2 linked regions of the Arabidopsis thaliana genome follow. The protein of the gene in region 2 interacts with the protein of the main gene of each other region in a pairwise test. Each region holds a gene or a part of one and is shown on either strand. Other genes may lie near its edges.

Region 1 (14,213 bases), on a different chromosome or scaffold from region 2:
ATTTTGGGTAAATAATAAGATTGATTGGAAATGTTATAAGAAAAAGGAAAACAGGAGAGAATAGTGAATAGAGAGACCAAACAACAAATAAGATTTGATGGCGTGAATTGCTTTTTCTGCTTTTCTACTTTTGCTTGGCTCTTAGTTTTTAAATTTAAATACGACTTTAGGGTAATGGACAAAGCCTGAAAATTCACTTTTTGCTTCATAAAAAACAAAATTTGTCAAGGGTATTTTATTTCTTTCAGCTGAAATTAAGACGTAAATGGTGGTTTGCTTGTTTTTGTTGCAAAACGAATAGTATATCGTAGCGACAACCCCATGCAAATTGCAAAGTGATGCGAGTATTGACAACAAAAAGAAGAGAAGCTTAGCCAGTACAAATAAAGTTGTTCAGAAGAAAAACAAATTCGTATAAGCACACGTGTAGCTGGATATTCTCAGCATTTACATTAATCAATCAATATATACACTTCAATCTAATGTTTATATTAAGAAATTGATTGAGATTTGATAGTTTTTGTATGTTTTGATGGACAACAATGAAAAATTGTTGTCCCTCTAATCATTTTTTTTTTTTGGCTGTTCGTTTTTTTTGTTTTTCTCAAAGAACAGAAATATCAGAATGGCAGAGAGATCGATCAACCCATTAACCATAAAATCACAGCACTGTTTTTATTATATTAAAATTGTCAGACTCAATATTTAACCTTCTTTCTTAAAAACAAAAAATAGCGCAGATTTAATCTGACACCTGCAAAATATTTCATTAAATATTTTAAATTTCTTTAAATAATAAATAACTGTTTGTTATTTCTCTTCATCTCCTTTCTCTTTCAATGTCCGTTGGTAAAAGACGAAAGTTTCAGACATAACATCTCTTCCCATCTCTCTCCCCTCTAAGCAATTAAGCAGACAAGACACTGATGATATGAGACGAAGAGAAAGAAGTCTTATCACTCATCCTTTCCTCTTATGAATCTCTCCGCCGACCAAGCTCCCGTCACCGCCGTCGACGAACTAGCTCCGCCTTCTCAACCGCATCGCTTATCTACATCATGTGATCTCCACCCAGAAGAGCGTTTCTCCGGTTTCTGTCCTTCTTGTCTTTGCGACCGCCTCTCCGTCTTAGATCACAACGCCGCTCCGCCACCGTCTTCTTCTTCCCGGAAACCTCCCTCTATCTCCGCTGTTTCGTTAAAAGCTCTCTTCAAGCCCTCCTCTAGTGGTACCAACAACTCCAACGGAAACGGTCGGGTCAGACCCGGTTTCTTCCCGGAGCTCCGACGTACAAAGTCCTTTTCCGCAAAGAACAACGAAGGATTTTCCGGTGGGTTTGAGCCACAGCGTCGGTCTTGTGACGTCAGACTTCGTGACGACGAAAGAAACCTTCCCATCAATGAAGCTGCCTCCGTCGATAAAATCGAGGAGGAGGCTAGGGAGTCTAGCGTGAGTGAGATAGTTTTAGAGGTGACTGAAGAAGCTGAAATTGAGGAGGATGAAGAAAACGGTGAGAAAGATCCCGGCGAGATAGTTGAGGAAAAAAGCAGCGAAATTGGTGAGGAAGAAGAGGAATTGAAGCCAATGAAGGATTACATGGATCTCTACTCACAAACAAAGAAACCGTCGGTGAAAGATTTCGCCGGGAGTTTCTTTTCGGCGGCCTCTGTTTTCAGCAAGAAGCTTCAGAAATGGAAGCAGAAGCAGAAGGTGAAGAAGCCGAGAAACGGTGTCGGCGGAGGACGGCCACAGTCTGAAATCGGAGTAGGCCGGAGATCAAGCGACACCGACCCGAGATTCTCTCTTGACGCCGGGAGATTCTCCGTCGATATAGGTCGGATTTCAATGGACGATTCTCGCTACTCATTAGATGAGCCAAGAGCGTCGTGGGATGGACACTTAATCGGCAGGACAACGGCGGCTAGGGTTCCTCTGCCGCCATCGATGTTATCAGTTGTGGAAAATGCTCCGTTGAATCGATCAGACATGCAGATTCCATCGTCTCCGTCAATTAAACCGATTAGCGGTGACTCCGACCCGATTATCATAATCCCAGGCGGATCCAATCAAACTCGAGACTACTACACTGGACCTCCGTCGTCACGGAGACGGAAGAGCCTCGACAGATCCAATTCTATTAGAAAAATTGTAACGGAGCTAGAGGATGTCAAATCGGTATCAAATTCGACAACAACAATAGACTCAAATTCCATGGAAACAGCGGAGAACAAAGGGAATCAAAACGGCGATAAGAAATCGAGACGGTGGGGAAAATGGAGCATTTTAGGGTTTATATACAGAAAAGGTAAGGACGATGAAGAAGAAGATAGGTACAGCAGATCCAACAGCGCCGGAATGGTTGAGAGGTCTTTATCGGAATCATGGCCGGAGATGAGGAATGGAGAAGGAGGAGGACCGAAGATGAGGAGGAGTAACAGCAATGTGAGCTGGCGAAGCTCCGGTGGAGGATCGGCGAGGAATAAGAGTTCGAGGTATTCGTCCAAAGATGGAGAGAACGGAATGTTGAGGTTTTATTTGACTCCGATGAGGAGAAGCTGGAAGACCAGCGGTGGTAGTGGTGGAGGCGGAGGCGGTGGTGGTGGTGGTGGGTGGGAGAAGACGGCGGCTAAGGCGAATAGTCACGGCCACTCTATAGCGAGGAGGGTTATGAGGCTGTATTGACCAAAGTGTCCCTCTTCATTTTAATTATTGGGAGCAATGTGAGGTTTTGGTTTGGGGTTCTCTAATTATCTTTGTGAATAAATTGGATATCTACTTAACCGGAGTTAATCGGACCAAATTGGAACCGGGTCGTTTTCAAAAACCTAAACTTATAAACACTCGGAGTTTTGAGTTATGCTCTCTCTCACTCACTCCGCCGCCGTCCCTGCTTCCACCACATCCTCCGATTTATGATTGGATGGGATCATCGAGCTGATTCGATTGCAAGAATGCAAGTAAGAACAAGAGACTGATTGAGAATTGTAAAAACCGGAAATTTGGGTGATGCTTTGAAAGTGTTTGACGAAATGTCTAAGAGAGAAGAACAACTTGAGGTATGGAACAACTGAATTAGTCAAGGCTGGATAATGACTAAGGTAACATCTTTATAGTCTCTGGCTAGCTTTTGTTCTCTCTGTTTCTCGTACTTTGCATCAAAAATCAAACCGCATTAGTATCATCTTCTCTTAACTTCACCAACTAGCTAAGTCTGAGTTCCAGGCCTTTCTCTGTGTCTGCATTACCAAGCTTGCATAGAGATTGAATCTTTAAGTAGCTTAAACAAACATAACAAATGGTTTTTGAAGTGAGCAGCATAAGCACACACATCGGTCTTGGTGGTTTGAGTAAACATCACTGAGATTTGTTGTTTTACGATGCAATAGCAAATGTAAAAGTAGCTTGACGTATCAAGCCCAAGTGTTAAGTTTCAAACTTGGGTCTATTAATCAAGTTATATGATCTTTGTTGCTACCTTTTTCCCTTTATTTGCTTTTTTCATTCTCTATTCAAAATCAGCCAACCTTTGCTTGTATTTCCATTCTCCACTGTCTCTCTAATCTGATCAATCCTGCAGGTTCTTTGAAAGCTTGCATTCGAGTCTCAGAGCGTTTGATCACGGATTCATCACTACTATTCTAGTTGCAATCAAAGAAATGGTTTCACTAGCGGAATCTCAGCACAACGCTTGTGTTAAATACAAACCCTTGAACTCTGCAACCACAAAGCAATAAGGATAGTCGAATTCAAAAGTAGTATCTTGTAACCTAAACTCAAGCAAAGAACTTCAAACTTGCTTGTTTATGAAAAATAAAAATAATATCTGTAAATATGTTTCAGTAACGAGATTATCAAACATTGCGACTAATTTCAAATCAGAATTCGTGATTGCAGCCATCGTTATGTTTTTTGTATCATCAAAGCGCATGCCCGGTCGTTTTCTTGTAAGTGTACCATTTAGCAATCCAAAGGTAGACCAAGAAATTCAAGAAACTCAGACCAGCTAATAGCCAAAAGAAGTAATCAAGATGACCATTGTTGAGGTTCTTAGCGATCCAGCCTGGTCTTCCACCTGATCTCGTGACTTTAGTGACCAATGTCACCAGAAATGTGCTCAGATAGTTCCCAAATGCAATTGCGGTGAGCGACAAAGCCGAGCAGAGACTCCTCATAGCATCAGGAGCTTGGTCATAGAAGAACTCAAGCTGACCTATAAACGTGAAAACCTCGGCGCAACCCACCAAAAAATACTGCGGAACTTGCCAGAAAATCGTCATCGGGATAGTCTCTTCATTGTAAAGATTGTGTGTTTGAACGTAGTTTAACCTTGCGACCTCGAGGATTCCCGCAGAGACCATAGAAAAGATGGAGATTACAAGCCCGATTCCAATCCGTTGAAGCTGTGTGAATCCGCGTTCGTGACCTGTGTATTTCCGGGCGAAGGGAACAATTAGCTTGTCGTAGACAGGTGCCCAAAACAGGACACTAAGCGTATCGAATAAGGAGAGTGATGCGGAAGGGATTTTGAAGTTAGGTCCCATGTGTTGGTCCAGTGTGTTGCCTTGTAGTACAAACACAGTCCCCATTTGGCTATAAACCGAAGCGAAAACAATCCCTGTGGCCCAAATCGGTAAGAGACGGATCAGTGCTTTGAGCTCTTCTACTTGTGTCACTGTGCATAGCTTCCATGAAGACGACTTAGCTGCTCCTTTGTTGTCACTCTCTGTTTCCACTGCTGCCTTATCAAAGAACCTGAAATGATTTGAAGTGAGCCAAAAGTTAACCTAACAACACAAAATTACAGACCGGACTTGCTTGTGCCTTACGTTAATATTTTGGTGTGTTCGAGCTTGCGGCTTCCTATGATACTGCTTTCGGCGTCTTGGTTCTCGTAGAGAAGAGATTCATCTTCAGGAATTTTCACTTTAGATTTTCTGCATGAAGCCACAATGACTTGCAGCATTCTTGTGAGAGGACTTCCTCCTGGTTTCTGCAGCCTGTAGAAGTTGCTTCCGGCGAAGAAGAACACGACGGCTATAGCCATTGCGACGGTGGGAACACCTAAACCCCAACCCCAACCAACATTCATCTGAATCCAAACGAGAACAGAGGAAGCAATCATTGCACCAACGTTGATCACAAAGTAGAACCAGTTAAAGAAAGAGCTCTTAGACTCTTTCTCTTTTTCGTCTGTATCATCAAACTGATCAGCACCAAAGGAAGAGACACAAGGCTTGATCCCTCCAGTTCCGAGTGCGATCAAGTAAAGCGCTATGAATGTAATAGCGGTTTGACCCGCTGTTGCGTGACAGGTTTCTCCGCTGCAGGTTGGTGTTAGACCAGGAACCGAAGCTGATATCGTCAATAGCGTCATTCCCTAAATTACAGAAACAAAAAAAAAAAGAGCAAACAGTTTCAAGATTCTGTGATTTTCTTTGTTCACGTTGAGAGCAAACAGAGCAAAGAGTAAATTATTACGGCAATGTAGATGACGACAAAGGAAGCGATGGTCCAGTATCGACCGAGATAAGCATCGGCGATAAAAGCACCGATCAAAGGAGTAGCGTAACATGTTCCAGACCAGTTACTGACACTCTTAGAAGCAGAGACGTTTTCCATATTCATTTGTTTCTCGAGATAGTTGATGAGATTAGTACTCATTCCATAGTAAGCTAATCTTTCACAGCACTCAGTTCCTGCCAATTGCTCATAGATACAATCAAATCAAATTCAGAACAAAAAAAAACGATTTGGTTTTTATTACAACAAAAGATTAAAGGTTTGAACAATACCAAGAATGAATCTGCAAGCTTTCCAGGTTCCAGTTTTATTCTTGTTGGCTGGTTTCTTGTGAATGTCAAGAGTTCCATCTTTTGTGTATATATCCTTGTCATCTTCCATTGTTGTTTGGTTTCGACAAGTTTAAGTGTGACCCCTGAGTTTTCAACAATGTGAGAATTTTTGACCTGATTTACTGAGAAAAAGGACAAAAGATGACTTCTTTGCCAAGTAAAATCTACACAACGATATTTCTACGACTAATTATCGGATTTAGACAGATAAGCCTCCATATATATATATGTGTGACTCCACGAAGAAACAGAATTGAAAAACATCGATTTATTTTATGAGCAATAGCCAAAGTAATGTCCATTACATGCATCATGACAAAAACATAACGCGTTTTCTAGACACAAACTGACAAAATCGGAAGCCATACATACATATATAATTTCGTCGAAGAAAGCTACGGATCTGAAAACTCGAAAACACACAATCGCAAATTTCGTTTGAAAATGAAAATAAATCTAAGAACACTCCTCCCGAAAATGTGTGATTACTAGTAACAGAAATTGTTCATAGAATCAAAAAAAAGACAGATCAAAGATAACCAGATTTAATATTTAGAAACGGTTAATCGTTGGTGAAAGATTCGTTTACCTTTTCTCGGGGAAGCGACGACAGAGTTTTGTGCCGGGATTTGAACTACACGGCTGAGGAAGATAAACTTGAGGGCTTGAGCGTTTCGTTTTGCGCCGTGTGATAGATATTTATAAGGAAACACTCTGAATAGTGAAGGTGAATCAGGCAGTTTCGTGATTTTACCAGTTACGTCCTCGCATTTATTATCTTTCTCTTTGTTATTTTGTTGAATTTTGAATAACTTTCTTGAATCTTTGAGAAGATGTGGGGATGCTAAATCCTATTCATAGTAATGTATCATTAAAGATTGTGGTTGTGTAGGTTTGAATCCCTTTCATTTATATGTTAAAGAATCAAAAATTATAACAAAATTACCTAATTCCTAACAAAAAATTGAAATAGTTATGGAAACATATCTTTTTGTTTTTGATCAAAAGGAAACATATCTATAAACGGATAATCAATATTGTGAACAAAAAAAAAACGGATAATTAATACACCAAATAACTTATGGATTCTTTTTGTGATTGTGTCCAGATTCATGGAACGGTTACATGACACATCGATCATAGAATTGAAATTTATTTCAACGACTCAAGAGAATAGCAGATTGAGAATCTCTGTACAACTTTTCTATTTCTACAACTTCTAGTCAAAACAAACCTACCACACAAAAGAAGTGTTAAGTGGTAGAGAAAGATTAACTTTTTTAACCATAAACTCACAAGAGGTTAAACAAACCTACCACGCAAAAGAATTGTTAATATCCTGATTAGTAGAACTAATAAACTTGTTTGAAAACTTAATGCACACGCATTATCTGTGACCTATATATGGAATAAACAAAATGCGTAAACAAGTTGTAATAGATGTTAATATAACCACGAAAAAACAAAAAACAAAAGTTGAGAGACTATAGAACTATGAAAATAAGTTTAATAGTACTTAAGAAAAAAAATTGATATAATTTTCTGTTATGTTTTCTCAGATTGTTTTCTACGATTGATGCTGTGAAGAACTAACTTGTTTCTTATTGATTCATAATGAGGTTACATCACATATATATACATACTTGAGGAGGTTACATGTCTAATGGGCTAGGTTACAAAAGCCCATAACTACTTAAGTATATGACCGACCTAAGTATAGTCTCCATGGGCCGGACCTACGGGCCGGACTGACTGTGGCTTCTCTCCATGGACCGGGCCGACAGGCCGACGGGCCGATGGACCGATGGACTGATGGGCCGACTGGTCGATGGGCCGTCACACCAATGGGCTGACGGACCTATCCTCCAAAGACATGGGCCACGGTTATGGAGTCCATCCAACAAGTGGTTTACAACACTCCCCCTTGGATGACATAACCGTGTAGATGCCAACGGGATCTCAGTAATACGCTAGGGGAATGCTGCCTCATTAAAACCTTACTAGGAAAACCCTTTTCGGGACAAAACCATAGTGAGGAAAAAGAGTACAGCACGCATTACTCCCCCTGAATTGGTCATCTCTATAAGTCCTTAAGCCTCCGCATCCCAACCTGATGCGCGAGCTTCCTCAATGTCGTTGCTGGTAATGCCTTGGTGAATAGATCGGCTGAATTGTCGCTTGAACGTACTTGCACCACCTTAACTTCACCATCCTTCTGTAAGTCATGCGTGAAGAAGAACTTGGGCAGAATGTGCTTCGTCCGATCTCCCTTGATGTATCCTTCCTTGAGCTGAGCAATGCATGCCGCGTTGTCCTCGTATATGATGGTCGGCTCCTTGTCTTCGACCATTCCACAATCGGCTCGTATGTGTTGAGTCATTGACCTCAACCACACACACTCGCGGCTGGCCTCGTGCATTGCCAATATCTCCGCGTGGTTAGAGGAAGTGGCCGTGATGGTCTGCTTCATTGATCTCCAGGATATCGCGGTTCCACCATGAGTAAACACATAACCCGTTTGTGACTTTCCATTGTGCGGATCTGAAAGATATCCTGCATCAGCAAAACCAACTAAACCTTCTTTGTTATGGTTAGTATAATATAAACCAAAATCAATTGTCCCTTGTAGGTATCGAAGCAAATGCTTGATTCCTTCCCAGTGCCTCTTGGTCGGACAAGAACTGAATCTAGAGAGGAGGTTCACGGCAAAACATATGTCCGGTCTAGTGTGGCTAGACAGGTACATCAACGCTCCTATGGCACTGAGATATGGCATTTCAGGACCGAGAATTTCTTCATCGTCCTTCTTTGGACCGAATGGATCACTATCCAATCCTAGGCTCCTCACCTGCATTGGGCTGGTCAATGGGTGAGCCTTGTCCATATTAAATCTCTTGAGTATTGTCTCTGTATATGCCCTTTGATGCACAAGGATTCCTTTATCTACATACTCAAGCTGCAATCCCAAACAGAACTTTGTCTTGCCTAAGTCTTTCATTTCGAATTCTTTCTTTAGATATTCGACTGTTTGGGCGATTTCCCCAGAGATTCCCAGGATGTTCAAATCATCCACATATACTGCTATTATCACAAATCCTTTGCTAGCAAACTTCTTGATGAAGATGCATGGACTGATGGGGTCATTTTTATAGCCCTCTTTGACTAAGTACTCACTTAACCTATTGTACCACATGCGCCCACTTTGTTTCAGTCCATAAAGTGATCTGTTCAGCCTTATGCAGTATTGGTCTCGAGACCCATTTTTATCTTTTCCTTTGAGCTCAATACCCTCTGGTAATCTCATATATATCTCATTATCCAGTGGACCATATAGATATGCGGTTACAACATCCATTAACCGCAAGTCAAGGTTCTCTCTTATTGCCAGACTTATTAGATATCTAAAAGTCGTTGCATCCACCACAGGGGAGTATGTCTCTTCATAATCTACTCCCGGTCTTTGTGAGAATCCTTGTGCCACAAGCCGTGCCTTATGTCTCACGATTTCGTTTTTTTCATTTCTCTTCCTCACAAAGACCCACTTGTGTCCTACTGGCTTTATATTAGATGGTGTCCTCAATATTGGACCAAACACATCTCTTTTCTTTAATGAACCTAACTCCACATCAATGGCTTCTTTCCACTTAAGCCAATCTGACCTTTGAGTGCACTCTATTATAGACGTGGGTTCATGATCCTCATTTATCTCATATGCTACCTCATATGCAAATTTCTCGTCGACGTCGACTTCTTTTCGGTTCCATTTTATTCCAGACATGATGTAGTTTATTGAGATCTCATCATTATCAATTCCTTCAGGACCATGAGCTTCGGCGTCCCGAATCTCATTTGGTGGTTCCTTAGGACTTGCCGCGGCCATGTCTATGGTTTCCTTTACCTCGGTTCCCATTGCACCTTTCTTAGTCTTTCGAGGAATTTTATCTTTGGAACCTATTGGTCTACCACGTTTCTTCTGTGGGTTAGACTCGGTAGCAATTACATTGATTCCCTTCTGGATATCAATACGTACTGGTGCATTACAAGCTGGTATGTACGATTTCACAACTCTCTTTGGGTCAGCAAAGGAATCTGGCAACTCATTAGCTAGCTTTTGCAAATGTATAATTTTATGGACCTCTGAATCGCACATCAGAGTCCGAGGATCTTGCCAATTCAAGGATGTTTGATTCCATGCTATCTCTTTTATTTCTTTACCCAGCTTGTTCGTCTCACCACCTAACGCAGGGAACTCGGATTCACTGAAGTGACAATCCGCGTATCTAGCCTTAAATAGATCGCCCGTTGTCGGCTCTAGATACTTTATAATGGTGGGAGAATCAAATCCAACATATATTCCCATCCTCCTCTGAGGTCCCATCTTTGTTCTCTGTGGTGGAGCAATTGGTACATATACGGCACACCCGAATGTCCTTAGATGGGATATGTCTGGCTCATGACCCGTTAACAATTGGGATGGTGAATATTTGTGTTCACTAGATGGCCTGATACGAATAAGTTCCGATGCATGTAATACAGCATGTCCCCAAGCGGCTACTGGAAGCCTCGACCTCATAAGTAATGGTCGAGCTATCAATTGGATTCGTTTAATGAAGGATTCCGCTAATCCGTTCTGTGTATGTACATGTGCCACGGGATGTTCCACACTTACCCCCATGGACATACAGTAGTCATTAAACGCTTGGGACGTGAATTCACCGGCATTATCTAGACGTATAGTCTTAAGCGGAAAATCTGGAAAATGGGCTCTCAGACGTATGATCTGGGCCAGTAACCTAGCAAATGCTTGGTTCCTAGAGGACAACAGACAAACATGTGACCATCTTGTCGATGCGTCAATGAGGACCATGAAGTATCGAAACGTCCCACATGGTGGGTGTATTGGTCCACATATGTCCCCTTGTATCCTTTCCAGAAAGTTTATGGTCTCTTTATTGACCTTTGCCGGTGATGGCCTTATTATGAGTTTCCCTTGTGCACATGCAGCACACGTGAGCTTCTTTGGGATAACTCTCTTTTCTTTTAGGGTGTGCCCCTTTGAACTTATCATTAGCTTTCGCATCATGTTATGACCCGGATGGCCAAGCCGGTCATGCCACAAAGTGAACTCCTCTATGAACTCTTTGTTCATTGCCAAATTATCTTCGATCATGTTGATCTTAGTATGGTAAAGACCAGTGGACAATGCGGGTATAGTTTCTAGGACTCTCTTAAGTCCTTGGGCGATCTCTGTTATATGTAGGAATTCTCTATTCCCTTCACCCTTTGTTTCAACGTGGAAACCATTAAGACGTATGTCTTTGAAACTTAACAAGCTCCTCTTTGAGCTGGGTGAATACAAGGCATCACTTATTTCAAGATGTGTGCCGTTTGGTAAGAGTACATGGGCTTGGCCGTAGCCCTCAATGAGACTCGCTATACCCGCTATAGTGCTAATGTTGGCATTTCTCAATGTTAGATTTATAAAATATCTTTTGTCTCTTAATATAGTGTGGCTTGAGCCACTGTCCACTATGAGTATGTCCTTGTCCTCGGCCATTTCTAAATGTGGACAAGAACTATATCTTAGGCGATAAAGCAAACAATAATGAAGCAAAGCAATTCCATAAAAATAAATAAATCCAAGACATCGAGCAATAGAAATCAAACTACAAAGCAAAGCAAACAAATCAAATTTAAAATTAGATGTCTATTCTCCCAAGATGTCCGAAGTCTCATAATCCATTAGGTCATCTTTCTCGTGGTCGAAATCCCCTTCACCATCGAGATGAACCAAATTTGCTTCGGGTCCCTTTTGCTTTATCATCTCTTGATATGCCTCAATGAGGTGCTTAGAGGTTCTGCACGTCTTTGCCCAATGGTCGTCCATGCCACACCTATAGCACACGGACTTAGCCTTTCCTCGCGGTTTGTTAATACCACGGCCTCTACCCCTACCTCGGCCATAGTTCCCACGGCCTCTACCACCATAGTGGTTTCCTTGGCCGTAGAAATTGCCACGACCTCTTCCACCACGTCCTCTGCCACGGCCACGGCCGTGAGGGTTACCCCTATGGACGTAGTTGGATTCCTTGGTCGCCTGAGGTTCATTAGGCGCTTTGGCCATTTCGGCTCTATTGGCTTCGGGCACAGCTGTGGATCCGGGAGGTCTCAATGCGCTGTTCATGAGTAACTGCTCATTGTTCTTCTCAGCAAGAAGCAGGCAGGAGGCTAGACTTGTGTAAGTCGTAAACCCTTTCGCACGGTACTGTTGCTGAAGCAGTACGTTGTTCGCGTGAAAGGTCGAGAAAGTTTTCTCGAGCATGTCATTCTCAGTCACCTTCTCACCACACAGCCTCAGGATAGAGACAATCTTAAAAAGCTCGGAGTTATACTCCTCCACGGATTTATAATCCTGGATCCTGAGGTTAAGCCAATCATGTTGGGCTTTGGGTAGTTGTATGGTCCTTTGGTGGTCATATCGATTCTTCAACTCAAGCCAAAGCTCAAGTGGATCCTCGACTGTAAGGTACTGATTTTTCAAGCTCTCTGCTATATGATGGCGTATGATCGAGATCGCCTGATACTTTGACCTCTCCGTTTTCTCATTTCCTTCCACAATGCACTCGGCGAGTCCTTTAGACTTCAGCTCAATCTTGGTGTCCAATGCCCATTGAAGGTAATTGTCACCAGATGCCAAGAGTGCAGCGTACATGAGGTTTGTGAGCTTCGACATCTACAATGAAGAAGTTACGAGTCAATATCATGTAATGGACAAATCATAAATGTCATGAAGACCATAAATCGATTTTCCTATTTACTCAAGGATTTGACTTTCTCTTTTCCTCTTTCCCTTGGGACAATTTCCTCTTTTCTCTAGGATAATTTCCCTTTTCTCTTTAGGATAATTTCCTTTTTCTCTTTAGGATAATTTCCTTTTTCTCTTTAGGAGAATTTCCTCTTTCTCTAGGGATTATTTTTCTTTCCCTCTTGGGAGAGTTTCCTTTTTCGGTCTTAGGGTAAATTTTCCTTTTTAGCGATTTTCTATTTTCCTTAGGGTTTTGGTTTTAGGGTTTATGCAACATGAAGGATTTTAACAATTCATGCATGCAACCATGAAATCAATCAAACTAAACATCCTAGACAACTTCAAACAATCACGAAATAGAATTAGGGTTTTGATCCGATTATAGTGTTTTCGATTTAGGGTTTATGTCTTTTAGGGTTTCGGATTCTAGGTTAATATGTTTTCGATTTGCAAGTTTAGGATAAGCAATAACAAGACAAACAATCGAGCAAACAAGCAATCATATTACAAACACTACTCAACCATTCGTTTTTAGGGTTTTAGCCGTTTGTTAGATCCATGTTCGATTAGGGTTCTTTAGCTTTAGGGTTTAATGAATTACCTTTCTCCTTTGGGGTTGTACGGACTGGAACCAGGAGCTAAAGACCTTGGTTATCGAACGGTGGTCGCTGGTCGACAGTTGGTGGTCGACGGAAGTATCGTCGGCTGACAGACGGGCAGCAAACGGTCGACAGGCGGTCAGCAAACGGTCGACAGGCGGTCAGCAAACGGTCGACAGGCGGTCGACGGAACAGCGGACGGCGGACGAGCTAGGGTTGAGCGGCGGCTTCTAGGGTTTTGTTAAGAGCAATGTCGTGCTGATAACGTGTGAAGAACTAACTTGTTTCTTATTGATTCATAATGAGGTTACATCACATATATATACATACTTGAGGAGGTTACATGTCTAATGGGCTAGGTTACAAAAGCCCATAACTACTTAAGTATATGACCGACCTAAGTATAGTCTCCATGGGCCGGACCTACGGGCCGGACTGACTGTGGCTTCTCTCCATGGACCGGGCCGACAGGCCGACGGGCCGATGGACCGATGGACTGATGGGCCGACTGGTCGATGGGCCGTCACACCAATGGGCTGACGGACCTATCCTCTAAAGACATGGGCCACGGTTATGGAGTCCATCCAACAAGTGGTTTACAACAGATGCTACTTTTTTTTTTTTTTGTCGCTACGATTGATGCTACTTAGATGAATTATTTATTCGCTTGCTTGATAAGGTTGTAATATTTGCTGAGATAATTTAACATCTTAAAACCAAAATAAATCTAACATCAGGGATCTTTTAGCAAATGTTTTCACTTCTTAAAATGCATATGATATCATCCACATATGTTACTGTAATATCATGAATGTTTTTTGGTCAAATATTATCATTAATATATGACCAATATTCTTGTCTATTTTGGTCAAACATAGTGTGGGGAATAAATCTGAAGTAGTCTTTAATTGTTTGGTATGAATTTTTGGGCCTTAAGTATTGTTATATGATCATATT
Region 2 (16,690 bases):
AACCAACTAATCCTCGAAGCTACCTTCTCTTCCCAGTTATTATGTGTGATCGATTTATAAATCTCTTCTTCTAATAACACCTATATTTTTCTTATGATGTGAATAAATATAAAACTTTTAACTTTAAAACATATTTATCCGAAATATTGCACTTAGATTTCAAATAGATAAATAATAGTACTATCTAACTGATATTGAAAAGACCTAACACGGAAAACAGTTTTATAAAAAATCCCAAATGTGGGTAATTATCTTGATTTCTTGGGGGAAACAGAAAATGGATTAAGATTAATCGGAGTCGTGTCAAGCAGCTCGTTAATAACTGTAGCAAGTTGACTGAGTAAGCATCAACGTGTCATCTCCGTAAAGCCCATTATTTCTAGTCTCGCCGCGTCTTCTCTTCCACGTAGCACTTCACTTTTTCTCTCCTTTTGTTTCCTTTGGAACACAAACGTTTCTATTTATAGGAATAATTACGTCGTCCGTATCTGTGTCGGAACATAGATCCAAATTAAAAGCAACTTACTTAATTACATATCGTTCGTGTTTTTTTCTTCAAAAAATGGCGTCAAAGCAACTGAGCAGAGAAGAGCTTGATGAGAAGGCGAAGCAAGGAGAGACCGTCGTCCCAGGTGGCACCGGTGGCCACAGCCTCGAAGCTCAAGAGCATCTTGCTGAAGGTATTGCCGTAAATTACAACTTTTCCACACTCTTTTTATTTTCTTTAGTTCGTAAGTAATGGTTTTATAAGGCTAGAAACATTAGATCTTAATATCTTAAGATAAGATTAATCTACTTATTACGAACCTAAAGTTTACTCTATGATCTCCATGTTTCATGGAATGCATGTATGTACACTTGTTAGGAAGGAGCAAGGGAGGGCAGACGAGGAAGGAGCAGCTAGGACATGAAGGTTATCAGGAGATCGGTCACAAAGGTGGAGAGGCGAGGAAGGAGCAGTTAGGGCACGAGGGTTATCAGGAGATGGGTCACAAAGGTGGAGAGGCGAGGAAGGAGCAGCTAGGGCACGAGGGTTATCAGGAGATGGGACACAAAGGAGGAGAGGCGAGGAAGGAGCAGCTAGGGCACGAGGGTTATAAGGAGATGGGACGTAAAGGAGGACTCAGTACGATGGAAAAATCTGGTGGAGAGCGTGCGGAGGAAGAAGGGATTGAGATCGATGAGTCAAAGTTCACCAACAAGTGATAGTAGTTACGAGCTACTAGTGTCCGCTGCAACAGTCTGTTATATATCATCTAATAAGTAACCTGCTTGTAGGTTCCGTGTTTGGCAGCGTGGATTTTAACTAGGGTCTAATGTAGCGCGTTTAGGTTTTTTGTGTTTTATATGTGTGTGATATAACTATGTATGGCTTGTACTAACGGCAGTGTTGTACCGTTCAAATGGTATGCGGTTATGTTATGTAATGCGGTTGCCGGTTGGTTTTACTTCGTGTCTTACTTGTGATAGTATGTTGTGTCCAACAACGTGAGACTTGATATGTTAAGATTGCAGCATATCAAATGGCTGTAGAATAGAAAAAAATCAGGTAGTAATAACACAGTTTCAAGTTGTTAAATAACATATGTATAGTCTAGTCTTTGTAGTTTCTCAAATTAATTGTATGAAGTTAGTTGGGTTACTAGCTAGTTGTTAGATTTAGATTATAAAAAGTTTGAGGAAGTATCATTTTTGTATATTACTGTTTTTATGTGGATACATGTTTAGAATCAATACAAAAAGTGATGAAAATAGTTAAAATCCACTACAGAAAACAAAAACATTCTGAAAGCAGAGAAGTGACAGAACTAACATAAACCCCAATCCTCGATATGAGCAGGAAATGCAAAAATGGAGCGCAAATACGGTAACATCAATTACAATTTCTCAGCCGTTTTGCTAAATTGATACAACAGGAGTTGTTTCTAGTAATAACGGTACATACATTTTACAAAATCTTTTAAACTAGTTGATGCCATCACTTGCCCACATTTGATGTGTCAACACCTCTGCTTTCGACAAAACCCCATCAAAATACGCCTTTTTCAGTGTTGCGATGCTAATGCCGTTACAAATATTCCGAGCACCAAGAATGGCTGCGCGCTTGCCTGTAATCAAGATGAGTGTTTCAAGCAACTTCTGATTAAGAGACCTCTCAAAGATATTTCAAAAGAACACAAACATGTGTACTAAGTTGACTTACCTGGTACTTGACGTCGTATTTGACAGGGTCCTTGAGAAAGTATTTAAACTGCAGTTTATAGAAGCGAGTGTAGCAATCAGACGAGTGACAAGAATTTGATTAATTATAATGTGAGACTGTTAACGTCTTTACCTGGAACACAATCTGAGGAATGATCAAAGCAACCAACGCCAACGCATAATAAGGTTTCCCAGATGCTAATAGATATCCTGCAACCAAAATAGACATATACTAATGATGATCTCTACCTTTGATTTGGTTCTATAACAATGATTGTGTAACTCATCCACTAGTAAAAGTACAAATGAAGATATAAGTTCTGTTATTTCATGACACTGTTGAAAATACTTGTTTTAGAAGCATGAAATGAAAATCCATCAATCACACTAATGAAACATAAAAGTAGATGCCTCCTCTTCATTAGCTCATTTCATTAGAATGTACTTTTATGTTTTGCCTTTGTTGATTCAGCTTCATTAATTTGTGCTTTACCATTGGTGAATATCCAGTTGATAAGATCAAGGAAAAGAAATAGAAGCCACAGCTGCACAAAAACAGTGGATAGTACATACCGGCAACAGAAAGCTGAGTAATGTCTATAGCACCAACGCATATCCATTTTGCAGTTTCGGTGCCAAAAGCTACTGGGAGAGACTGAAGTCCTAATGCTCTATCTCCTTCAACACTTTTGAAGTCGTTAACAATGGCTATTCCTAACTGCATTATCACAAAGGTACAACATGAAGCAAGAGCATATTACAACAGATAACGAAAAAAGCAACATAAAAGGTTTGCCAAAAGAGTACCCCAGCTATGCTGTACAAGAGTGTTAGAACAACAACATCTGGCGTAAGAGTGCCAAACAATGCTTGGCCAGCCCACCTATCAGTCAAGTGAGCAAGAAACAAATCAATGAGATGAGAACAACGCCATATATTATTGATACACGAGATATCTTACCATGGCAAACTAATATAGCTTGCTCCAAGTGCAAAATTTCCAACCCATCCATTTTGTTTTAGCTGCAATGAGATCAGTTCAGATATCGATATTCAAAACTCCAAAACTTGGATGGAGTGTCTTATCACTAGAGAGTGGAAGTTAGGAATAAAACTTACCTTAAGAGGTGGAGCAGAGTATATATAAGATAGCAATGATCCTCCCAAAGCAAGATAGAAGACAGTGGGAGTGGTATGCCCTGCCTGATAAGGGAAGATTTTAGCAAATCTGATGTGCCCTTTAACTGTACTAGTTAATGTCAGAAGGGCCAACTTACCCACACATCTAATATTCCAGCAATACCAAGACCTCCCAATAATAGCACCCAGACTTGTGTAATAACCTGCATTTTAAGGAGTAAGGAGAAATCAGAATCACAAAAGAGATAAAAGCTCACAATGTTCTGTCTCAGTTACCTCTGGCTCTGATATTGCTCCAGATGGAATTGGACGATATGGCTCATTAATTGCGTCGATATCTCTATCATACCAGTCGTTGATTGTCTGGAAATCGACAAGTCTAGGTTATTGTAGCACCAAGCAAATGCACTAGAATAAGAACAAGTCAGCTTTTTGTTGTGTAAAACCAGACCTGTGTATAGCCAGTAAGACAAGGACCAGACATCATCATGCAAAGAATCGACTTAGCAACATCCTCTGGGGTCCAATGAAAGTTCCCTGCCAGAAGAAACAATTGGAAGGAAAATGAAAAAACTTTCTGTACAGTATTGCATGATCCAAAAGAGGTTCGTATGATTACCTGAAGCAGCAGCACCACAGACGACTCCCCAAACCAGTGGAGGCCAAGTGACTGGTTTTGTAAGCTGAAGACGAATCTTCCATTTATTCTGAATACAGAATATAACAACAAACTCTTTTTAGCTAACAAACAACATTTTCACATCATTTCTAAGCTAAAAACAAGACTTGTCCTCAAAAGAGATTACCTTTAGTAGGAAAATTCCTAAACTAACACATCATTATCCACAAATATGATAATTTAAAAGATTCTGAGGAGATGAACAAAATTACAGTTTCTTGAGATGCTCCTTTGATACCGAGAAGCTGGTTAATGCTTGAACCACCGGCTGGTGCCTTGTCAGGTGTCTGAGATTTAACTGCCGTCGGAAATTCAAACGCCACAGTGTTTGAAAAGAGAATTTTGAAGAGAGAGAAAATAAAAACAACTAAAAAATCATACCTTTATCAGTATCAGTCTCCGCCGCACGCACAACAAATCTCCGCCCTACGAGAGATCCACAACAAGATCAGTAAAAAAAAAATCGAAGAAAACATTCATCAATCTATCCAACAGAATGCTAACTACCGGGTGATTCGTAGATCAACGTCGAGAAACCAGAACGCCGGCGAGTGAACTCAACGGAATCCGAATTCCGAAGAGAGAGGACTCCGACTCGATCGACGGAGGTAACTCTGGAAGAGTGGATGGTGGAGACAGTGTTGAGAATCGAAGTCATAGAACCGACGGAAGAGAGAATCGTCTCTGGTGGTAGTTAAGCCGGAGACTGGAGTGGTGTGAGTCTGTGAGTTGCTGTTTCGGGAAACGAGTGGTTGTCCGTTACCGGAGATAAGTAATGTCTACGTTACAGTTTTGGCGGCCTTTGATTCAATAACTGCCATGTGGCACGATCCTCTTGGCAATACTAGTTGTGTCGGATGTTAGTTTTGTTGGACAAAGGACCTTCATTGAAGCAGAATGGGCCCGGTTTAAATCCAAAGCCCAAACAAAACCCATTAGGGTTTCATTGAAGCAGAATGGGCCCAGTTTAAATCGAAAACCCAAATAAAGCCCAAAAAATAAATCTAATATTAATATGGGATGATATATACCGGGTGAAATCATAAAATTTAACAATAAAAATACAAATACACAATTTTAAAAGCTAACCAAAACTAACAATATTAACAAAATAAATATAATTTCAAATTTCAAATCTTTTAATTATAAAATCATCCCGAATTGTATCATACATTAAATAATCAATAACATATATCTATAGTTGCTCAATACCTTCGGGGATTACTCTACTACATAAGTCGTCTTGATTGAATAGATTTCCTGATGTCTAGTTTTCCTACTGTGGAAATCCTATTTAGAGTAGACTCACTTCAATGAAAGCTATTACTTCTTTATTAATGACTATTAACTATTATAAGATATTAAGACAAAAAGAATAATAAATCTAACAAGGGGATTATGATACATCTAGTTGTAGTTGATATCTTAAAAACAAAAAATTCATGTATTTGATAAAAATATAAGCCCGTGATATATCTTTTAATATATATCCTATAAATATAATATTAACTGAAATAATTTTTTTAACTTTCTAATAAAAATATCAACCTTCAGTCTCTTCATGTTCCCTCAAGGCAAAATTACCTTCAAGTCTCTATTTTTACTACATGTGGAACAATCAAATCAAGGAAGAGTCGGTAGGTGATGGAGATTCGCTTTAAATGTCTACGTAACAGTTTTGGTGGCCTTTGATTTAACTACTGTAACAATTTGTCCGGACGAAAGACTATTGGGCACAGTTTAAATTTCAGGCCCAAAGAAGCCCACTAGTATCCGGTTGAGAGACACGTGGCAACAGTCAACTTTGAAGAAAAATAATGAACAATCATTGACATTTTTTTTTGTTTCTCCTGATCCAGTTCTTAATTGAACAAACTCCAACAGCATCATCATCATCATCATCCTTCAAATTATTTTTCCTATTTTGAAAAATTTATTTGAAATCTCATAATTTACGTTAATGGAGATTGCTCCATCTACAAGTAGATTCAAGCTCTACGATCAATTCGAGCTTCTGGAGTTTCCTGACAAGTACGTCGTCAAACCCATCGAATCGCCTGAGGAAGGCTTCTCCGTCAATCGGCGCGATGGCAATATCAAACCTCTTGATGGTAATCCACTCTTCATTCTCAGCTCTCTCCCTTCCCTGTTTTGGTTTCAAGACAAAATTTGGCAAGAGATGATATGAAGCAAGAGTATTAGGCTGTTGTAGTGTATTTGATGTTACTGTTTCTTTGTTACTGCAGAAAACGCATCTTCTGGGAGTCCTACTAGAGTCTCTACTATCTATGGCGTAGGAGGAACTATTAGGCTCTTAGCAGGTGGAAAATGTTTTTCAACATTTCTCTATGTACTGTGTTGGGATCCAACAGTGATTTTTATATGCTGGTTTCGATTTCATTCATATATAGGAACATACTTGCTAGTTATAACGTCTCGGGAGGAAGTTGGAAATTTTCTCGGTTTACCGATTTTTAGAGTTACGGCTATGAAATTCTTACCTTGCAATGAGGCTTTGAGGTTTGCTACTGCTCAAGAAGTAAGGTTATTGTGAATTTCAATCGATATACGATTTTGTAGGGGTTTTGGAGTTTATGAACAAGTTAAGTTGTCTAAAGAACTTGGTCACTGGCTTTTGCAGAAAAAGGACGAAACATATTTTAGGACTCTGTTACAAGCACTTGAGACAACCCCTGGATTGTATTTTTCGTATGAAACAGATCTAACATTGAAGTAAGTTTCACTATCTCATGATATTAAGAGTTTTAAGTAGTTCCGCGGCTTGAGTTAGATACATTCATCCAATTTTACAGTCTTCAAAGAAGGTGCAAGCTAGCTGAAGGTTGGAATCGTAAGCCTATGTGGAAGCAGGTTGTTTATTCGTATGATTTTTTATCTTTAAAAAAAGTATCTTCTTTGGATCCAGTGTCTGAATTTAAGTTCATCGCGTTAAAGTTAGGCTGAAGGTTTATTTGCTTGTCAGGCTGACCCTCGATATGTTTGGAACTGGCATCTTTTGGAGGACTTAATTGAATGCAAAGTAAGTTGTGTGGTTTAAATTTAATTGATTTTCATTCCTTGTCAAACGTTAATGATCTAACCTTCTCTTATTGTGGCAGCTGGATGGTTTTATTATTCCTATACTTCAAGGAAATATCCTTTTCTTTATCTTCTTAATCTTCTGTTTAGCTTGTTCTTGGACTGTTTATAGATGTAATGTTGCGTTTTTCAAATATGCTTTTTAATAGACAGTACTCCAATACATGTTGTTTGATATTAACCAAGGCTTAAGTTACCAAGTTGCTGAGCTAAAGCTCAAGAATTCTCCTGCTGTGGTATCGATAATGTCCAGGCGCTGTACACGACGTCTAGGTAGGGTTTAATTAGTTCTGCCAGAAAATTCAGTGGCATCCATGTTTGTTTGACAGTCTTATTGGAATTGGCATCCCAGGTACACGTATGTGGAGAAGAGGAGCCAATCTTGAAGGGGACGCTGCTAATTTTGTCGAATCTGAACAAATAGTGGAGATTAATGGTTTCAAGTTCTCATTATTGCAGGTATATCCTTGTTAGGATCTCATTCATGTGCAGTGTCTTCTTAAAATGATAGTTTCATGCTTCGATACTGGTTTATTTGCAGTAGCTGTGGAATTATATTTATTGATGATATGAAATGCTGTGTGGGGTTTCTTTCATAGCCCTGGAAAACTAATATCCTATGTAACTCATTTCAGCTGAATGGTTACACTGTTTTTTTAAAAATTTGATATGCTTGAAAATGCACTGTTTCATTATTTGGGTTCTTCATCTCTCAACTTAGTTTATTATACCTTGCTTTTCTCTTTCTCTGTGTTTAAGGTTCCCTTTCATTTCTTGCGATTGTAACTGTCTTGCTTTCACTGACTAGGTTCGAGGTTCAATCCCACTTCTTTGGGAGCAGATCGTTGATTTGAGTTATAAGCCACGGCTTAAGATAAATAAGCATGAAGAGACGGTACCTTTTTATGATTTTCTTACTAGATTAATTATATGATGTCCAGCACTCAATCTTAATAAGCTAAATTTCTGCCTCCAGCCAAAAGTTGTACAGCGCCATTTCCATGATCTTTGCCAAAGATATGGAGAAATTATGGCAGTTGACCTAACAGATCAGGTTAATTTCTTTGTTCCCCATTCCTGAAAACAAAATTAAATGGCACTAAACATATGTGCACTTTGAAATCTATGACATCTGAACTCCACCTCTAGTACAGTTTCTGCTCTGGAATTTTCACTTACTTACTTTCATTGTATGATTAACTTTGTCTCTCACACGTGACTTATTAGCATGGAGATGAAGGTGCATTAAGCAAAGCATATGCCACCGAGATGGAGAAGCTTCCTGATGTGAGGTAAAAATCTGTATGCACATCGACGCATTTACCTTCTACCCGTCAGTCTTATCATTTCTGTATTTGGTTATCGTTCGGGATACCTCTTAGCGTACACTGTGAATTTTTGCTATTTCGTGACACTTGAACATTTTGTCGTTTGTTTGGATATCTTTTACCTTCTCTTGATTCAAATTGTTCCTCGATCGTACACATCAAATTAATGATAGTTTATGACTCAGATATGTCTCCTTTGACTTCCATCAAGTCTGTGGAACTACAAACTTCGACAACCTGGGGGTACTGTATGAGCAGATTGGGGATGAATTTGAAAAGCAAGGGTAAGAATTACGGTTTTGGTTCTACTCATTTCAGATCTAGAAACTGAGTTGATATGGTTAGCAGTCAGAGGTTGTTCGTTTGGTTTAATTTAGCTAGCGCTGCTATATAGAGAATTTTATTTCACCTGCGACTAATCCAGGCTGAGCAGATATTTCCTTGTAGACGCAGACGAGAACATCCTAGAAGAGCAGAAAGGAGTTATCAGATCTAACTGCATCGACTGTCTTGACCGCACAAATGTTACCCAGGTTTGTTGAATTATTTCTTACTCTCTTTCATTTTCATTTCTAGTAGGCATCTTGATTGGTACGGTATGTTCTATACAACTCATGGGTGATTAGGTGGGACATGTAAAGCACCGTTGGTAAATCCCCTCCATTTGTGTCATTTGAGTTTTTGGGATCTTGGTTGTGCATTTACTAAATTGTTTGCGATAAAAAATCATTGTTTACATATTTAACTTCATGAAATATTGTCTCTGGTTGCACATAACGGCTAAAATCTACTTGCTGTAGAGCCATACAAGCTTGTTAGATGGTTGAAAACTTGTACTTTTCATTGAACTGCTTCTGATTGCAGTCAATATTTTTTTTGTTGTATCATATGAAAAGAGTTTCATGGGCCAAAAAAGTCTGAATCTACAACTTCAAAGGATCGGAGTGTGCGATTCCACAGAGTGTATATCCACGTTCGAAGATGATTACACAAAGTTCAGAACAAGTAAGTGGTTGTCACCATTTTCAAAATTTCAGCGCAGGTTCCAGTTATATAGCTGTAGAATATCTTCTGGCGTACCTCAAAAATTTAATCCTTTGGGTTCACTACTAGTTTGGGCTGAGCAAGGGGACGAGGTTAGTTTGCAATATGCCGGGACATATGCTCTTAAGGGCGACCTCGTAAGGTGAGTAATCTCTGTCTGTGATCCTTCTTAAGATCATATTGATTACAGTTGGCTTACAGAGTTACAGTCTTGTGATAGTGATGATGACTTCTTTTAACCATACATCAACATTGTTAGAAGTTTCCATGCTGTTCTCTCAGACATGAATACACTTGCCATATTACTAGACTGATAACCTGTAATAACAAGCTTGAGTTCTCTGTTTACCTTGGATGCAGTTTTCTCTGAATTGGTATAGGCCTCAGCTTGAATCAATACAATAGTTTAGAAAGACCATGTAAATGATAATATTTACATATTAGCAATATACGCTATGGGGTATTTTGGTGCAGGTACGGGAAACAGACTATGACTGGAGCTATCAAAGATGGCCTCAGTGCAATGTCGAGATATTATCTGAATAATTTCCAAGATGGTGTAAGGCAGGCAAGTTTCTTCTGCAATTATAATTGAATCAGCAAATTAGAGGTGAGGTATGAAGATGAGAAACTGAAGGTAGAGAAAACAAAATTTTATTTTTCAGGATGCTTTGGACCTCATAAGTGGTCGCTACACAGTGGGCACACACAGCCCTTCACAACTCCAGCCCATTGGATCACAACCGTCTGTATGTTCCTCCTAACCGCTTAAGATTGTGTGTTTGCATTATATGTTTTCGTTTACTTAATAATTTTTTTTGTCAAATGAACCCACTACCTTAAACATACTAAAATGTTTCATTAGTTAATTGCAAACGTAAACGCCAAATGAAAATGGCGTTTGCATTTGCATTTGCATTTGCACTTTACTGGAAAACTGCAAATGGTAACAAACTTAGAAATTGCATTTGAAACGATGGAGACCATATAATTAAACAATTTGGTCAAACAGAAGATGCTGACTGGATTTTGTTTGTTGTGGTGAAAATAAAACAGTTTCTGCCGGTAGCATCAGCATTGTTGATAGGTGGTGTAACAGTGACATCTTTCACAATTCATCAAGGTAAAGGCTTGTAATTCATATGATTATACATTACATGATTGTATTTTGATTGATTTGTTTGTGTATGTGTGTGTGTGTTGGGTGGAAAAAACAGCGGGAAGAAACACGCAGCAGTATCTGGCGTCGGCTTTGTGGGCTGGAGTGACTGCAGGAGTTGTGGCGATGATCAAAGCCAATGGAAGGCACTTGACTTCAAGGCCTCGTCTTTGCCATCTAATTTGATTCCATTTGAATTGAGATTATTTGCGTCTCACATTCTTCCCAAAACCCACACCCACTGTCCCTCTTTGCTTTCTCGTTCAACGTCCGCACAAACCAAAAATCGAACTAAAAGTCTATATTACTGAACTTCTTTATTCAATGCAATCAGTTTTATAACCCAAAATAATATAAGAAGATTTCTTCCAAAACATTTTTTTTTGTTACAGGTTGGTAAATTCTTGCGAAATAGAAAACCAACCGTCCAAAAACCGAACTCTGGTCAGTGTAAACAAAGAAACACAACTTAATTGACACTTTGACATTCACCAAAAGTTATTGACATTGGCAATTTGAATTAATAAAAGGTTAACAAATGGTATTTCCCCCAGTACAAGCCACAAGACGAATCCATATTGCAAGAAGCAATAACTGGATTAAGTTTTGCAACAACGATATTATTCCCCCATTGGACCCTAAATCTTTTTGGGTCAGATTATTTGGCACATTTGTAGATGTAAACCCCACATCACAATATCAATACTAACCAACAGACAACAACAAACAATGGACAACCTTTTAACTTAGAGACGGCTACGTGTAGCCGGTTTGAAACTCGCAATACCCGTTACTTCCCTCCCTGTTACTAAGGTGTTTATATCATAAGTCCCTTCGTATGTATAAATGGGTTCAAGGTCACAGAAAGCCTGCAAATTTTCCAAATTCATGACTTAACCATGATCTTTCTTCAATAATAGCCAACAACCAAGTCAAATATGAAGATTTGCTCACCTTTGCTACCAGAAAATCTGCTAGAATTCCATTCCCACCAAGTAATTCCCGACCTAGCGAAGCAGTTTCTCTCGCTTTTGATGAAATCCATGCCTAGTGGAAACACATAATTGGTTATGCAAACGATATTATTCAATGTTTACTGAGCTATGTTTGATTAGTAGAATAGATCACAAGCAAAATGTATCTTGTCTCAATACAATATTTTCTGCATTTCGATAGTATAATAAGCATGAACTTCCTGCATTTCGATACAATATTTTCGCATACGATTACGACTATACACGAATACCAGGAGACGTGACTGGTCTCTAAGCGCAATACAGATACATTCACAACTTTCCCTAATCTCTATACACAAACACCTTTATTGTATGTTGCTACACATTCTATTCAAGGAATCAAGTGATGCATCTCATAGAAAATATGACAGGTCTTCTACCAAATGGTTCATAACTCATGAGCACCTATCGTTGTTTAAATATCTTACCCCTACTTATTTCGGCTAGCGTACTGACTATGTAATCAGACAACATGTTTCTCTATTTTGAAAAAGGATTTCTTGTTATAATACCTTTCCTAAACTGGCTTGACCTGGAGTCATCTGACCCGTCTCATACAGCTTGCAGAGACGCCAACCCATTAGAAACATCGCTTGAACGTTACCCAGCATCTGCACAAGCTTCTGTTGGTTTAACTGGAAAGCAGCCAACGGTGCTCCAAACTGTTTCCTCTCCTTCAGATACCTTGAAACAATACATATTAATGGAAAACTGTAAGTAACGAAATGAAAGCTCATACTAGGATTACAGAGATCTGGCGGTTTCCCGGAAATACCTGTGGCACATATCGTAGATTCCCATTGATATGCCGATTGGTTGCCAGGCCACCATTACACGTGAGACAGCCAGAACCTATTCAAGTGTAGACAAACATTTAATTATAACAAAGAAAAGAGGAAGATGTGACGTTTTTCTGGTGATAAAGTATTTTAGAGCATTTTGGGGTTATGTAGTAGAATTATCACAACAGTACCTTGCTGGTGTCCTGAAAAGAATTTACCCCAGGTAACCGATCCTCATCTGGAACAAAGACATTCTGTAGTAGAATATCTCCATTTTGAACCATACGTAAACCTATTTTATTTGGGATCTTAGTAGCCTTTAGGCCAGGCGCATCTTTCTTGACTATGAATCTGAAAGAGGGTTGCTGATAAGTTTCTAATGCAGGAAATATAGTCTATATAAGATGAATGAGGAGCCAGACATTAGTCCAGTATGCACTTGATAACGGTCCTTACCAAATTTATTGTTCAGAACATTCAATTGCGTAGCAACCTATTTAGCATTCTTTATGAAAATGGATTTTTACAGCACTACCATAAGATGAAATCAAGAGCCACCTCATTACCTTCAGTTTTCTGGGAACGACCTCTACACCTAAGATACAAAATCTGAGAGATCTAAGAAAGCCAATAATCTGACTTACCCGTTGATTTGGTTAGTTGTTGTATTCCTCGCAAAGATGATCAACAGATCTGCAAAGGTGCTGTTTCCAATCCAACGCTTTTGTCCATTAATTTTCCAACCTCCTTCAACCTGATACAGTAAACCAGTCAAAACAATGAAACATTACTGTACTTGCATAAGTATAGAAAGATAGATACAAGTAACTGAATACTAGGAGAGAAGGCAGCCCCACCTTTGTTGCAGTCGTTCCTAGACCACTTGCATCGCTTCCATTGTCGGGCTCTGTCAAAGCCTTTATAGAAGTCCAATATAGGTAATGGTATCAACAGGATGTTTGTATAACACAATAAAACACTATTCAAGGGATGCAAATCATCTAATTCCAAGATCCACGTACTCACCCAACAAGCCACAGTATTCAATTGAGCCAAAGAAGGCAAATACTTCTCCTTCTGTGCTTCTGATCCACAGAGTGCTATTCTTGACAAAATCAAAGGAAATAAACTTATGCAAATCCTAGAATGATCTTTACTAGGACAACTAAATATTAAACAAGCTTAGAAATAAATATTAGGTGCTCTTACCAATAGTGAGCATGCCCAAAGAAGAATGCACCAAAATGAAAGTCGAACAACTTGCATCAACTCTAGCTATTTCTGCTGTGGCAATTGCATTGGCGGTGATGGAGAGACCAGGACATCCATAACCCTAAGAAGTCAAACCAAATCAATACTGAAGCTTCTATCCACATAATCAAACAAACAAAAACCCAGAGACAGGCATTGCAAATTACCTTGATCGAGCCACCAGCAACACCCATAGCCCCAAGCTTTGGAGTGATATGGAATGGAAATTCTGCTTTCTCCCAGTACTGAGTAAAACCCAAAGGAAGAACAATGAGATAACGCTAACTATACAATCAAAGCAAACAAAGAAAAAACAAAACACGTCGAACATGAAGATCTACCTCTGTCATTATTGGAGCAACTTCTTTCTCCATGCATTCCCTCACTTTCTTCCGGATAGCTTGTTCTTCCGGAGTCAGTAGATCATTGAAATGATAATAGTCTGAAGCTGTAAACAGTATATCCACAAATGAGACAGAGAAACACAATAAATCATCAAAATATAAATCCTCTGGAAGAAGAAATCCTTACTACAAGGTGGAAATGTAGAGGCTGGAGTTGCTTGAGGAAATGCTACAGACATTTCCATAGGTGGCAAATCAAAGTATGAACTCTTCACCTTCTTCTCATTACTAGCTGCAAGACCAAAACACAATTCTTATTTCATAATCAATATTCTCAACACTCAAAACCAAAACGCAATGCATAATCTCGTTTCTAATTCCTATATACAACAGATTCCATAAGTTTCAACAATCATGATCCCTAGCATCATCATCTGCAAATGAAACAGTCTGCGAAAAATTCACCATCTGCGTCAAATTACGGTAAACTAACACGCAAAACAAAATCTCATTGACCTAATCAACACAATCACCTGTTTGATCGAAATGATCGACACATAAATCATCCAAAACGACAAAAAAAAAAAGATCGAACGAGCGAGCAAAATAGCTGCATCAAACGATGAGGAAGACGAAACAAGTATACCGTGAAAAAGGAAGAGTATGGGTACGAAAACGAACCTCGATCTGCAGATGAAAGCACCGCCATGGTTATGATAGTGACGGAGAAATTGTTCTTTGGCTTCGTGATGATCGAATGTTGAAGGAAGGATATGAATTGTAATGAGATAGATACTAGTACTCACCAGGATCCGACCCGGTTAAGTCGGAGTATTTGGATTTTTGTAAGATAATGTTTTTTTCATAGAAGTTATCAACTTATCCTGATTTCAATTTTTTTCTGCTGACAAGGACGATATTAACGATAACGACAGGTGATGAAATGTTAGGAATTTTAGCCGTAGAACCTGAAAAAGACGTTTAAAAATCTCGACAAAATCGTTTCGTTAACGTTTCATTGTTGAATTAAACGACAGCGAAATGAACATAACTTGTTGCTATTCCTTTGTCTTTGTCGTATGAATTATAGAAGCTTTGATAATTCATTATTAATAAAAGATTATGAATAGTTACTTTAGCATTTTGATCGTATATGAAGTCTCGAAGATACTACCGGTTATCGCTTCATTGATTCGGAAAGTTTAATTGCTTTTGTTGATGTCGATAGATTCATTGTTATTTGTTTCTATGTTTTTATATTTTTTTTGTCATGAGACCAAATTGTAGGATTTAGCAAAAATAAATAAAAAATAAAATCTTGAACCGGTTTTAATCCGTTAAAATTGCTAATCTTGAAACCTTGGTCTTCCATATAGAAATCATGGAGGGATTTGAGACATGCATAATTGGTCGTACGTACGTGTGAGGTGGTGGTGTTACTTAAGACCAAAATTATGCTATATGCAACATGCTACGGAAAAATATTAACTGATGTTGTTCAAGGTGAGACTTGCAATCATTTAAATTGTTTATAGCATATTTTTCATTTTAATTAAGAATTTTAGCTCGTACTGAGAATGAGATATAAATCAATACAAATTCAACTTTATTGCCAAGCCAATGGGGGACACATGAAAAGAATAAAATTAGAAAATGTTAAACGAGATATGAGTGCATTGAAACCTTGTTTTTGTAGCATACTCGAGTTTTTATTTATATATGGCCCATCATGCTATGCTTTCTCTTTCGCTTATACCATTGAGCTTCGCGACATTTGAGGAAAAGACAAGCCCAACACATTTTACTTTAACAATAACTAATCAACCTCTACTTCTTTTCTATTAAACAAAATGTTAAAGGGTTTTTTTATTTTCTTATAATGCATTCATTTACCTTGTCCTAATGTCCCGATAAATCTTGCCTTTTAAGTTCTTTGACTAGTGGCTACCAAATTCTTTTAGAATCTGTAATGATTATCATTGACCAACTGTGTCTGTGTTTTCCTAAATTTACAAAGACATCACGATGTAAAAGCTTCGGGGTGGATTGTTTATGGAAGCGGTCAAGCAAAGAATATGGATGGGTTCACGAGGAATCACTAGTGTGTGTGACATTATGATATTTTGTTATCGGTTTAATGGATTTTGCCAATTATAAGAGAATCTATGTTGCAAGATGGTAGATGATCGCACTACAAAAAAGTGATGAGCCAAAAATATAGTCACACGTTGTCCAATGGAATCTTCACCACGAAATGAAAAAAGTTCAAGTGATCTTTTGGACGTCATGCAAAAATGGAAGATGATGACGGTTACAAATTGATCTGTCTAGACATCTTATCTTCTTTATTCATGGCAAGTCTTTGGTACTACTATACGTGTGATGTGAACGCATTTCAGATAAGTTAAGTAGATATATATCTTGTTGTATGTGTGAATGCATCTCCACATCTTGAGATTTGGTTGGTTAACATTGGGTTAAATGTGAACGCGTCTTTGGAATAGTATATAATAATAATTTAGACGCGCGTTTGTTAACTTTCAAACATTTTTGTGAACCACGCTCCACCAAATAAGACATGTGGTGGACGTTGCAACTAGATTTACGCATCTTGATGGGTTTCCAAAAATGGTAAGTAGAAATTGG

Evidence for each region.
Region 1: the proteins of SAC8 (region 2) and PTR5 interact in a protein complementation assay, tested with the Arabidopsis thaliana proteins (one large-scale study listed by BioGRID).

The regions. Positions count from the first base shown.
Region 1 is NC_003076.8:57,340-71,552, forward strand, and holds PTR5 (peptide transporter 5), read right to left. Parts: upstream 6,598-14,213; 5' UTR 6,442-6,597; intron 5,975-6,441; exon of another isoform or gene 5,936-5,974; 5' UTR 5,902-5,935; coding exon 5,793-5,901; intron 5,697-5,792; coding exon 5,479-5,696; intron 5,378-5,478; coding exon 4,827-5,377; intron 4,753-4,826; coding exon 3,918-4,752; 3' UTR 3,678-3,917; downstream 1-3,677. Other genes in the region: AT5G01170 (hypothetical protein (DUF740)), read left to right, coding at 976-2,682. UniProt on the Arabidopsis thaliana protein: Peptide transporter. Mediates the transport of di- and tripeptides. High affinity transporter. Involved in the uptake of peptides during pollen germination and tube growth.
Region 2 is NC_003074.8:19,214,256-19,230,945, forward strand, and holds SAC8 (SAC domain-containing protein 8), read left to right. Parts: upstream 1-5,865; 5' UTR 5,866-5,981; coding exon 5,982-6,132; intron 6,133-6,267; coding exon 6,268-6,342; intron 6,343-6,432; coding exon 6,433-6,560; intron 6,561-6,662; coding exon 6,663-6,754; intron 6,755-6,834; coding exon 6,835-6,892; intron 6,893-7,004; coding exon 7,005-7,061; intron 7,062-7,140; coding exon 7,141-7,174; coding exon of another isoform or gene 7,175-7,266; exon of another isoform or gene 7,267-7,312; coding exon 7,313-7,393; intron 7,394-7,472; coding exon 7,473-7,579; intron 7,580-7,928; coding exon 7,929-8,015; intron 8,016-8,096; coding exon 8,097-8,174; intron 8,175-8,347; coding exon 8,348-8,412; intron 8,413-8,633; coding exon 8,634-8,732; intron 8,733-8,881; coding exon 8,882-8,981; intron 8,982-9,344; coding exon 9,345-9,453; intron 9,454-9,561; coding exon 9,562-9,634; intron 9,635-9,966; coding exon 9,967-10,060; intron 10,061-10,157; coding exon 10,158-10,241; intron 10,242-10,548; coding exon 10,549-10,615; and 4 more. Other genes in the region: EM1 (Stress induced protein), read left to right, coding at 563-680, 866-1,206; G4 (UbiA prenyltransferase family protein), read right to left, coding at 2,046-2,108, 2,204-2,251, 2,336-2,412, 2,776-2,920, 3,010-3,085, 3,164-3,225, 3,322-3,405, 3,480-3,545 and 6 more; ACX4 (acyl-CoA oxidase 4), read right to left, coding at 11,398-11,520, 11,606-11,698, 12,180-12,351, 12,443-12,519, 12,641-12,800, 13,094-13,203, 13,307-13,366, 13,476-13,549 and 5 more. UniProt on the Arabidopsis thaliana protein: Phosphoinositide phosphatase that hydrolyzes PtdIns(3)P and PtdIns(4)P.